2 linked regions of the Rattus norvegicus genome follow. The protein of the gene in region 1 interacts with the protein of each later gene in a pairwise test. Links are inferred from orthologs where the notes say so. Each region holds a gene or a part of one and is shown in the gene's direction. Other genes may lie near its edges.

The links. The genes of interacting proteins can lie anywhere in the genome.
Region 2: the proteins of Ubqln1 (region 1) and Zg16 interact in binary tests that used the Homo sapiens proteins (3 or more experiments, as listed by UniProt). The link is inferred for Rattus norvegicus from reciprocal best matches to the Homo sapiens genes UBQLN1 and ZG16.

Annotation. Positions count from the first base shown.
Region 1 is NC_086035.1:6,442,595-6,447,482, forward strand, and holds the start of Ubqln1 (ubiquilin-1), read left to right. Parts: upstream 1-1,845; 5' UTR 1,846-2,011; coding exon 2,012-2,164; intron 2,165-4,888. UniProt on the Homo sapiens protein: Plays an important role in the regulation of different protein degradation mechanisms and pathways including ubiquitin-proteasome system (UPS), autophagy and endoplasmic reticulum-associated protein degradation (ERAD) pathway.
Region 2 is NC_086019.1:191,087,635-191,092,272, reverse strand, and holds Zg16 (zymogen granule membrane protein 16 precursor), read left to right. Parts: upstream 1-1,667; 5' UTR 1,668-1,691; intron 1,692-2,301; 5' UTR 2,302-2,308; coding exon 2,309-2,363; intron 2,364-2,521; coding exon 2,522-2,654; intron 2,655-3,612; coding exon 3,613-3,928; 3' UTR 3,929-4,025; downstream 4,026-4,638. UniProt on the Homo sapiens protein: May play a role in protein trafficking. May act as a linker molecule between the submembranous matrix on the luminal side of zymogen granule membrane (ZGM) and aggregated secretory proteins during granule formation in the TGN.

The DNA of each region.
Region 1 (4,888 bases):
CACAGCAGGAATGGGGCCTTAGCCACATAGATGGAGCTCCCCACAACCCCCAGTCTTCTTTGACCTATTTACTCTAGACCTTCCTTATGGCAACTTGCAATTAAGGCAGCATTGTAAACAACAGGTGGTAGAGAAAGGCTGGATACTCCGGTGACAGTCTTGGGACCCTCCCTACCACTCCATGAAGGGGTGTGCTAGTTAGTAACGCCAGCTTGGAGGAACCTTTTCCAAGAAAGTGCAGCTAACTACCCAAGATGGCAGTGGCTTGCTTGGCTGGGAGAACTCTTGTTCACAACATGCCATATACCTCAGAGATTTTTAGAAATAAAATACAATTACAAGGGTATTCCATACAAACATCAGTAAAGGTTATCTACAGCCGCTGTATTAGAGTAAAGAGATCGGGTTTCTAAAGGGCAACAGAATGAAGACTTCCAGGAGGTGGGGGATATGATGTGAGATCACAGAAAGTTAGGCAGGGAAAGGTGTGAGGGGGGCGGAAGGGGGGGATGTCATCATAGAAGGCAGCCTAGGGAAGTACACAGGGAGAATACAGCAGGAAGGAAAACCAGTCAACAGAGGAACTAATGAAGTTGGAAGGAGATTTTATATATATAAACATGAGAAAATTCCAAAATGCTTGCTTGCTCAGTGGTGGAACTTTCTACCCCAAGAACTAACAATTTTCTCACACCTAGACATAAAGCTTGTAACTTCTTCCTGTGATCGAACAACGCTGACAGAAATGTAAGTGATATCAAGTGACACTTGGGTCGCCATTTACCTTCGAAACTCTGACCCAGATTTCAAAGGGCTCTGCTAAGAAGTGTTTATGCAACAGTAGTTAATCATAGAACAGGGTTTGATGGCCTAAGAGCAGAACTATGGAATGTCTTTGCATATTAGGGTCACGGTACACTGTCAGAGTTCACGTTTGTGCAATGTTGATTAACAAAGTGCCGGACTGTATTACATGCTATCTTTGCGAATAAAGGATGTGGGAGTCACTTGTGAATGACTTATTTGTGCCTACATTATGCTGAAAATAAGTTTTCAACCATTATCCCTGATGCGAGCTGCACAGTAACGTAATGGGACAGAATACAAAAGGCACACATCAGCTGGGCTTAACTCCTACCCGTTGGGTGGACAGTCCTAGGCATTCTGTTTCTGCCCCCACGCAGCTTGGAAGACAGACAATATGGGTTGTCCTGTCTTCTGACCAAACCTGTTTGACTCCATGGAGGGAAGCTCTGGCCTCATTGAAACAGTGAGCGCCTGCGGTTGCGCTGGTGGCTCACTGGCGTCTGTTTCGTGTTCCTTTGAAGACCTTTCACCATTGGCTTAGCTTCCAAGCCCTGAGCACAAGACAAGGCAATCGTAACTCCTTCCACCCGGGCAAACACTACGCTTATTAAAATAAAGTAACTCGCCGCTATTTTATAAGCCAACGCCCACGGGGACCAGGTCGGGAGGATACCGGGACCGAGAGCAAAGGGCCAGACGTTTCTAGCAATTTCGCTGCCCGTGACGTCATCTTAGTGCACCATCATGGCGTCTTCCATGAAACCCCTGTTTAAATGCCTTTCAAAGAAGAACGGGAGACGCGAAGTGGGTTAAGTTCCCCCGCTGTGCCCAGCGCTCCTTCGACCTGGAGGAGCCCGCGCTTCGTCCGCCGGCTAAGAAAGGAACGAGCGCCGCCAGGCCATGAGTCGGCTCCTTCGCCAACGCGCTACCCGGCGTGCCTCGCGCAGCCGGCCGCCAGGAGTCGGCGCCGCGGCCAGCGCGTTACCCAGCGTGCCCCGCGCGGCGCCCGGCGACGAGCGTGGGGGAGGTGCGGGAGGAGGAAGCGGCGGCGACGCGGAGAGTCCCCGCGTCCACACGGCAGCCGATCGCCCACCGGGGCCTGCACCCGCAGCCCGCGTCTACGCACCGTCGGTGGCCCCGCAACCTGTCGCGCCCCGCGGACCCGGCCGCAGCCCCCAGTGTCGCGCTCGCCTGAGTCACCGCCATGGCCGAGAGCGCAGAGAGCGGCGGCCCACCGGGCGCTCAGGACAGTGCGGCCGACAGCGGCCCCGCAGAGCCCAAGATCATGAAGGTCACGGTGAAGACGCCTAAAGAGAAGGAAGAGTTCGCTGTGCCCGAGAACAGCTCGGTCCAGCAGGTGAGGGCGCGGGCCAGGCGGTCGCTGCGTCGCCGGCGGGGCGGGGAGGGCGGCGAAGGGGCGGCCTGGCCGGGCGGCGGCCCCGGGGAGCTCCGGTCAGGTCCCGCCGGGTTCCGCTGCGTGAGCTGTGCGGGGCCGGGACGAGTGAGCCGCGCGGCCTGGGCTGGGCTGCGCCGCAGCCGCCGAGCTCCGGGCCCCGGGACCCCAGTCCTCACAAAGGAGCCGGGAGCTGCTGGGAGGCAGGGCGCGGGCGTCGCTCGGCCTTTGACCAGGCTGGGTGGGGGTCATTGTTTTACCTGCCTGGGAATTGGAGAGGTTTGGGGGCGAGAAGCACGTGGAGGGCTAGTTCTCGGTTTTGAATGCTGAACTCTCCCCCACCTTTCAGCCTTTTATTATAAAAATTATGACGCGGAACTTGTTTTCAGTCACACTGTACTAGCTCACGCCTGAAAGGAAAAAAGTAAATGACTTTTTGATTCATAGGCGACTTGCTGCTTCTGTGAACAATACTTCCGTCATCGCTTAGCTGCCACTCATTGGATAGGTTTTTGTTTGATTTTTTTAGGGAGATGAGAAGACACCTGACTGGGTCTTAGCGGTTGCAACGGACCGCAAGGAAACATGGTTGATGTTAAGGCCGATAATTGCCTTAAAGTCTATTCAGGAAAACAAATCTTGCAGCTAATTAAGAGCCTTGGTAGAACCTATCAAATGTAGTTTTCAACACGGTCTAGAGCATTTGAATTGTTGACAGTATCAAACATTGTAAACAGTTTTATGCGAGGAAGCAGGGAACAGCCACTGGAATGTACCTGTAAGTTCTCTCAAGGCTTATCTAGTTCCAAAGGTGAAGTCGGTTTCTTTTCTGAAGCAAGAGGATGTGTGGCACATTGAGAGAAACTCTGGTTGACTGAAGCATCATTCCTTGTGCGTTAACGCTGCTATAAAAAAAAGTTTACCGTCTTTATGTTTTCCAGCAGGTGTGTCCGTCACCCACAATTGACATTTTCCTGCGTTTTCTGTATTGGGCATCTCTTACTTCTAAAATACACTTACTATTAAAAATACTGCAAATATCAGTATTACCCTTATAAGGAAGGTAAGCCACATAAATATTAGTGGCTTGAGAACAACGTCTTTGAAAAATGGTATTCCACATGATGAGAGGCGCAGTGATACGGACATGGTTGCCTTGGCTGGTTTCCCCAGCTCCATCTACACCTGTGTCAGCCAAGCAGGCCATAGTGGAGCCTGTTAGAGTGAACTACAGGCTTCCTTCCGTTCCTCTTTTTGTCACCCCTGTAAGGATTGTTTTTCCTACAAGATTGAGTTCACAGAGACCTAGTTGTCTCTCATGTGGTCTTCTGGATAAGGCTTTTTTTCTTCCTCCACTCAGCATAGTTTTTGAGATTCATCCCAGTGAGGTCTGTATCCCTCCCACGACAGAGATTTGCATACTAGGCACAGGCTTCATTCTACCACTGAACCAAGTCCTCAGCTCAGTACTTAACTGCTGAGTGGTTTTCCACACCATGAATGTGCCGTCACCTGCCCAGGGTCATCTGTTTTCAGCTGCAGTTCTTGTGAAGAGCCTCAGGAGTCCTTTTTGAGGCCATATGCTCTGTTATTGTTTAGTTGCTTTTGTTTTTATTTAAAAGACAGGCTTTCACTCTGGAAGTTTGGCTATCCTGGAACTCACACTGTGTAGACCAGACTGGCTTCAAATTCATCTGCCTTACTCATCTGAGTGTTGGTATTAAAGGCATTCACCACCATGCTCTGCCAGTTCTGTTTAGTTTTATAAGAAACATGAAAAATGTGCTATTTTGCAGTTCAGTCTACATCATATGGGTGTGTGCTCCTTCCTTCTGTCTCCTTGTTAATATTTGGTACGAATAGGGTTTTTTCTTTTTCTTTTCTTTTTAAAGATTTATTTAGTGTGTGTGAGTACACTGTAGTTGTCTTCAGACACACCAGAAGAAGGCACCAGATCCCATTACAGATGGTTGTGAGCCACCATGTGGTTGCTGGGATTTGAACTCAGGACCTCTGGAAGTGCAGTCAGTGCTCTTAACCACTGAGCCATCTCTCCAGCCCTGGTTTTTTTTTTTTTTACATTGTAACCGAGTAATGAATGTGTGGACATACTAAATTATGAAGCTCTTGAGTCTTCCTGAGAGTCCCAGTTTAGATTTCCATCTTCCTGGCAGCTTCCACATTTTATTTCAGGACATTAGAAATAATACTTTATAAATAGAAAAATTATTTAGGTGATTATCTATAGGGTTTTTTTGGGGGAGTGGGGAATAGTGACACTAGAATTTTAAATTCCGTGGAAGCTTATGTTTTGCTGTGCTGTAAAAATGTCTTTACTGGGTAAAAGTAAAGCTTTCCTAAAGTAACTTATTCTAATGTTGGTTTATCTGTTTCCTGTGGGAGCAGTAAATGTGATAAAAGTTGAAAGCATACCCTGTCCCCCCAAACTGGACAGCACATCAGACTGTTGGATGGGTATGGGGAGCACAGATGCACAAGAATAGGCTAAAGCAGACCTCTGGCACTCGTTTGTAAAGTCCAGTTCTTAGCACAAGAAAAAAGTCCGCCATTCTGTAAGTTAGACTTTCCTTACAGAACTTCCTAGGCTTGGTGTTTGCTAGGGAGTTTGTCACTGAGTAGTGTTCGAAGGCACTAAGATTTCCTTTTAAATGGTTAATAGTAATGGTG
Region 2 (4,638 bases), on another chromosome or scaffold:
TCTATCCCAAGGGTTCTGGCTACGTCATGTAAGAAATACAAGCGCATCCTCCCAGGGCTGGGTACCAGACTGTATGTACGATGTGCCCCTAATAACAAAAGGAGGGAGCTCTATGACACTGGGAGGAAGGAGGCTGGGGAGGGGGGAGAGGAGAGATGTAGGAGTAAGGAAGTGAGGGCTCAAAAGGGGTATGACCAGGGAAAGGGAAAGAACATAAACAAAGAACCTTAGAGTAGGAAACTCGGGGAAACATCAAGACATAAGCAGAACTGGGAAAGAGACAGCACAATGGACATGAAGCCATGGTGGTGGTGCTGGTGATTCTCTTGAACTTGGAGAAAAGGAGAGGAGGAGAGGTGAAACCGTGGCGGCTGTCTGGTCCTATTCCTGGCATCTATCATCACCAGGGGCCCTGCCCTGCTTCCGGCTTCTCAGGGCAGGACTCCCTAGCTATCTGCGATGAGCTTTCAGTCCCAGATGGTGAGCCTGCAAGGAGAGGGTGGATGTTCTGACTTCCTGACTGCAGGTCATTAAGGACAGACACTGCTTACTCCAGCCCCTCCCTAGGCTCCATCCTCTCTACCAGGAAGGCCTGATGACTCAAGGATCACAGGGCTCGGCTAACAGGGTCTAAGTACTAGCACTTAAGGGTCAGTTCTAGGGACTTTTGATCAAGAGGAAATCAGTCTTGAGAGGGAAGGATCTAAAGAGAAATCTACAGCATTGCTTCTTGGGTGTTTCAGGCCTAAAGAGAGGAAGCTCACTCTGGTGGTCTATAACCTGGAGGTCCTGAGGTCCAAGTCCCGAACAATTCATGGAGAAGGACTTGTATAAACTGTCCCTCTGCTTCCCACGTGCCCATTGGACTGCCCACCTATAGCCCCAGGTTCCCTTTCTCAGAGAAAAAAAGACTTGAGAAGGGTCTGGACTGAGGATGGATAGATGTAGGGGTGAAAGACAGACAGCCCAGGCACAGCAAAGGGTTAATCACAGCAGACTTGTGATATAGGTGTTTACTATGTAATTTTTTAAACTTTTTAACTGAATTCTTCATAATATAATATCAACGAATAGAGAAAAATTATCAGGCCAATATTTGGCACTGCTCAGAGTAGAAAGTGATTTTGTGTTCTGGGAGACGTACCACACATGAGTGGAGAGAGTAACAGTTACGTGGGGTCAGTTCTTGGGACTATCCTAGGGCAAGGACTGATTCTGGGGGAAGAATACCCACAGATCTCCAGGCCTCTCGGACTGCACTCTCATTTGCTTGTTTGGGTTTTCAGACAGGGTCTCATCTATAGCCCAGATTGGCCTTGAACTCATGATCCTCTGCCTTGCCCCACACACCCCTCAAATGTTGGTATTACAGACATGAGCCACCATGTCTGTCTGGATTAATTACACTCTTTAAATATTAACTGCTTTCCCCACCCTTCAGATGGTTTAGCAAATTGTCTCTTCCCAAATCTGGCACTTTGTCTAGAGTGGACCCCACCTTGCCACCTGTAACCCTTGTGGAAAAGGCAGGATAAGATGTTCCAGACCTGCTTGATACCTGACCCTAAAAGTTGGTCATGTTTGCTCAGCAGGTGAGGTTCACACGATAAAGAACAGTGGGAGGGCTTGGACAAGGTATAAAAGCTCTGGAAATTTCTAGAAGATTTGCATCTGCAACTACTAGGGGAAAGGTGAGTTGGGAGATATTCAAATATGAGATAGAAACGACAGTGCCTGGAGTGGGCTATTTTGGAGTGCAAAGATGTCTGGTTTTGGCTAAGGGATGCTTGTGGGGGACAGCTATGGACCATTCGGCTGGCAGAGACAGGGTTATGACACACAGTCAAGTTACCTGGGATCAGATGTTTTGAGCTCACACATGTCCCCCCATTAGCTTCTCTAAGCTCCACCAGTCCTGCTCAGACCCTGTCATTGATACAGTGTTTTCTGTCATCTCCTTTGCTCCCGAGGAGACATAGAAGTTCCCCTAAAATCTTCTTTGCCTTAAGAGTAGAATGATGCTAGAGAGACTTAACTGTGCCTCAGATACCTCATAGACCAGCTGGCTTCAGGTAGGTTTTGCTCAGATTCTTGGTTCATCAACTCACCTGCCTCAGGACTCTAGAGATGGCCTTTATTTCCTCTTCAGAGAGCTCTCTTGTGCCTTGTGCCAGGATGGAGGAAGGCTTGACTCGGCTTAACAGAGACAGAAAGTTAGGGTTATCTTTGGGATTTGGAGAGATGAGCAGTTACAGTCACATCAAGGAATGAGCCTTCTTTTTCTTCTCCTCCCCTCTGCAGCCTCAGGATGTTGGCCATTGCCCTCTTAGTCCTTCTCTGTGCCTCGGCGTCTGCTAATTCCAGTAAGTGAAGTGCCATAGGGAGATCATGGGAAGGCAGCCAGTGTACTGCCACTGTGCAGGGTTGTCAGACACTGGAGTGGTTGGTGGGAGGAAGGAGGGGAGTGGGGAAGCTGTGCCCCCAGAGCATCCGTCCCTCCAGGCCTTTCTTTCCCCTCTAGTTCAGTCCAGGTCCTCCTCTTACAGTGGAGAGTATGGCGGTAAAGGAGGAAAGCGATTCTCTCACTCTGGCAACCAGCTGGACGGCCCCATCACTGCCATCCGGATCCGTGTCAACAGATACTACATAATAGGGTAAGAGTCTCCGTGTTTCTGTGCTTTGGGGTCTGTCCAGGACCTTGCTAAGTTGGAAAGTTCTCATTGACCTGGGATTCCCACCTGTGCACATGACCTTGGAAAGTCGTAAGGGCAAACTCCCAGGAGCCTCACACCACTTGGGTTGGATTTCACCTTATTTCCAATATTTCTGTCAGGCATCCTTTATCTCTGCTTGCTGTCTGTCCTGGAATAGTCCTATCCCACTCTGGAAACTTCCATCACACAAAGAGCCAGGTGTATTTCTTTCTGGTCCATTTTCTGAACCATGAGACAGTTGCTGACTTGTCTCTTCCCTGTCTGGCCTGGGCAGACTTCCAGTGCCAGTGTGTATTGTGGGCAAACTCAGACTTTTGTTGTCTAAGCGACTGAGAAACTGACTTTCGTTCCACAAGCCCTATTTGCCATTCAAACGAGAGTTTGGGATTCTCTGCATGCTCTCGCAGGGCTCATGCAGCCTTTATAGCATATGGAATCTGTCAGTTTGAGATCTCAGTATATAGACTAGGAAGTCTTGATTTTATTTTTTTAAAGATTTGTTATATTTACATGAATACACTGTAGCTGCCTTCAGACACACCAGAAGAGGGCATCGGATCTCATTACAGATGGTTGTGAGCCACCATGTGGGTGCTGGGAATTGAACTCAGGACCTCTGGAAGAGCAGTCAGTGCTCTTAACCTCTGAGAAAATTTTTTAGATTTATGTTTTATGTTTGTGTGCTTGTGTGGGTGCTCAAGGGCCTCATTGTGCATGTGGGGGCCGGAGGACAACTTCTGGGAGTAGGGTTCTCTCCCTCCAGTTGTGGGTTGCAGGGGTTGGACTCAGGTTGTCAGGCTTGGCAGGAAAGCATCTCTACCAGAGGAGCCATCTCAGCAGCCCAGTCTTGTGATAACCATGTCCAATGTGTTCCTTCTTTTCTCACCCCTGCCTCCAGTCTCCAGGTGCGCTACGGCACAGTGTGGAGTGACTATGTGGGTGGCAACCAGGGAGACCTGGAGGAGATCTTTCTGCACCCCGGGGAATCTGTGATCCAGGTGTCTGGCAAGTACAAATCTTATGTGAAGCAGCTGATCTTCGTGACAGACAAAGGCCGCTACCTGCCTTTTGGAAAAGACTCAGGCACAAGTTTCAACGCTGTTCCCTTGCACCCCAACACTGTCCTCCGTTTCATTAGTGGCCGATCTGGCTCTGCCATAGATGCTATCAGCCTGCACTGGGATACCTACCCTAGCCACTGCAACACTTGTTGAAACCCACCATCCTCTGCTGTGGTGGGTATGAGAACTCCCTTATCAACAAGCCCCAGGCAAACATGCAAATAGCTTAATAAAAGGATATGGTTAAAGATGGTGTCTTTCTACATCCTAATTCTAGTAGAAATGTGTGAATCTTATTTCTGACTTTTTTTTTTTTTTTCGGAGCTGGGGACCAAACCCAGGGCCTTGCGGTTGCTAGGTAAGCGCTCTACCACTGAGCCAAATCCCCAACCCCATTTCTGGCTTTTTAAAATATTAAATAAAAATAATGTTTTTGAGACAGGGTCTCCCTCCATGGCCCTGGCTGTTCTGAAATTCACTGTGTACACCAGGCTGGACTCACAGAAATTGACTTGTCTCTGCCTCGGCCTCCATAGTGCTGGGATTAGAGGGGTGTGTCACCACGCCTGGCTAAATAACTGAAGAAATGGGAGGACGAGGGAGAGAAGCGCTAGGGGCTTTCTTTTTCCTTTTCTCTTTCGTGTGTGTGTGTGTGTGTGTGTGTGTGTGTGTGTGTGTGTGTGTGTGTGTGTTTTGAGAGAAGACTTCTCTGGGTAGGCCTGGTTGTCCTGGAATTCACTCTTAAGACCAGGCTGGCCTCAAACTCAGAGATCCACCTGCTTCTGCCTTTCAAGCCATCACTGCCTGGTGGGGCTTTTCTTTATCCGTTATCAAAAAGAGACAGGAGAGCTCCTGAGAATTTT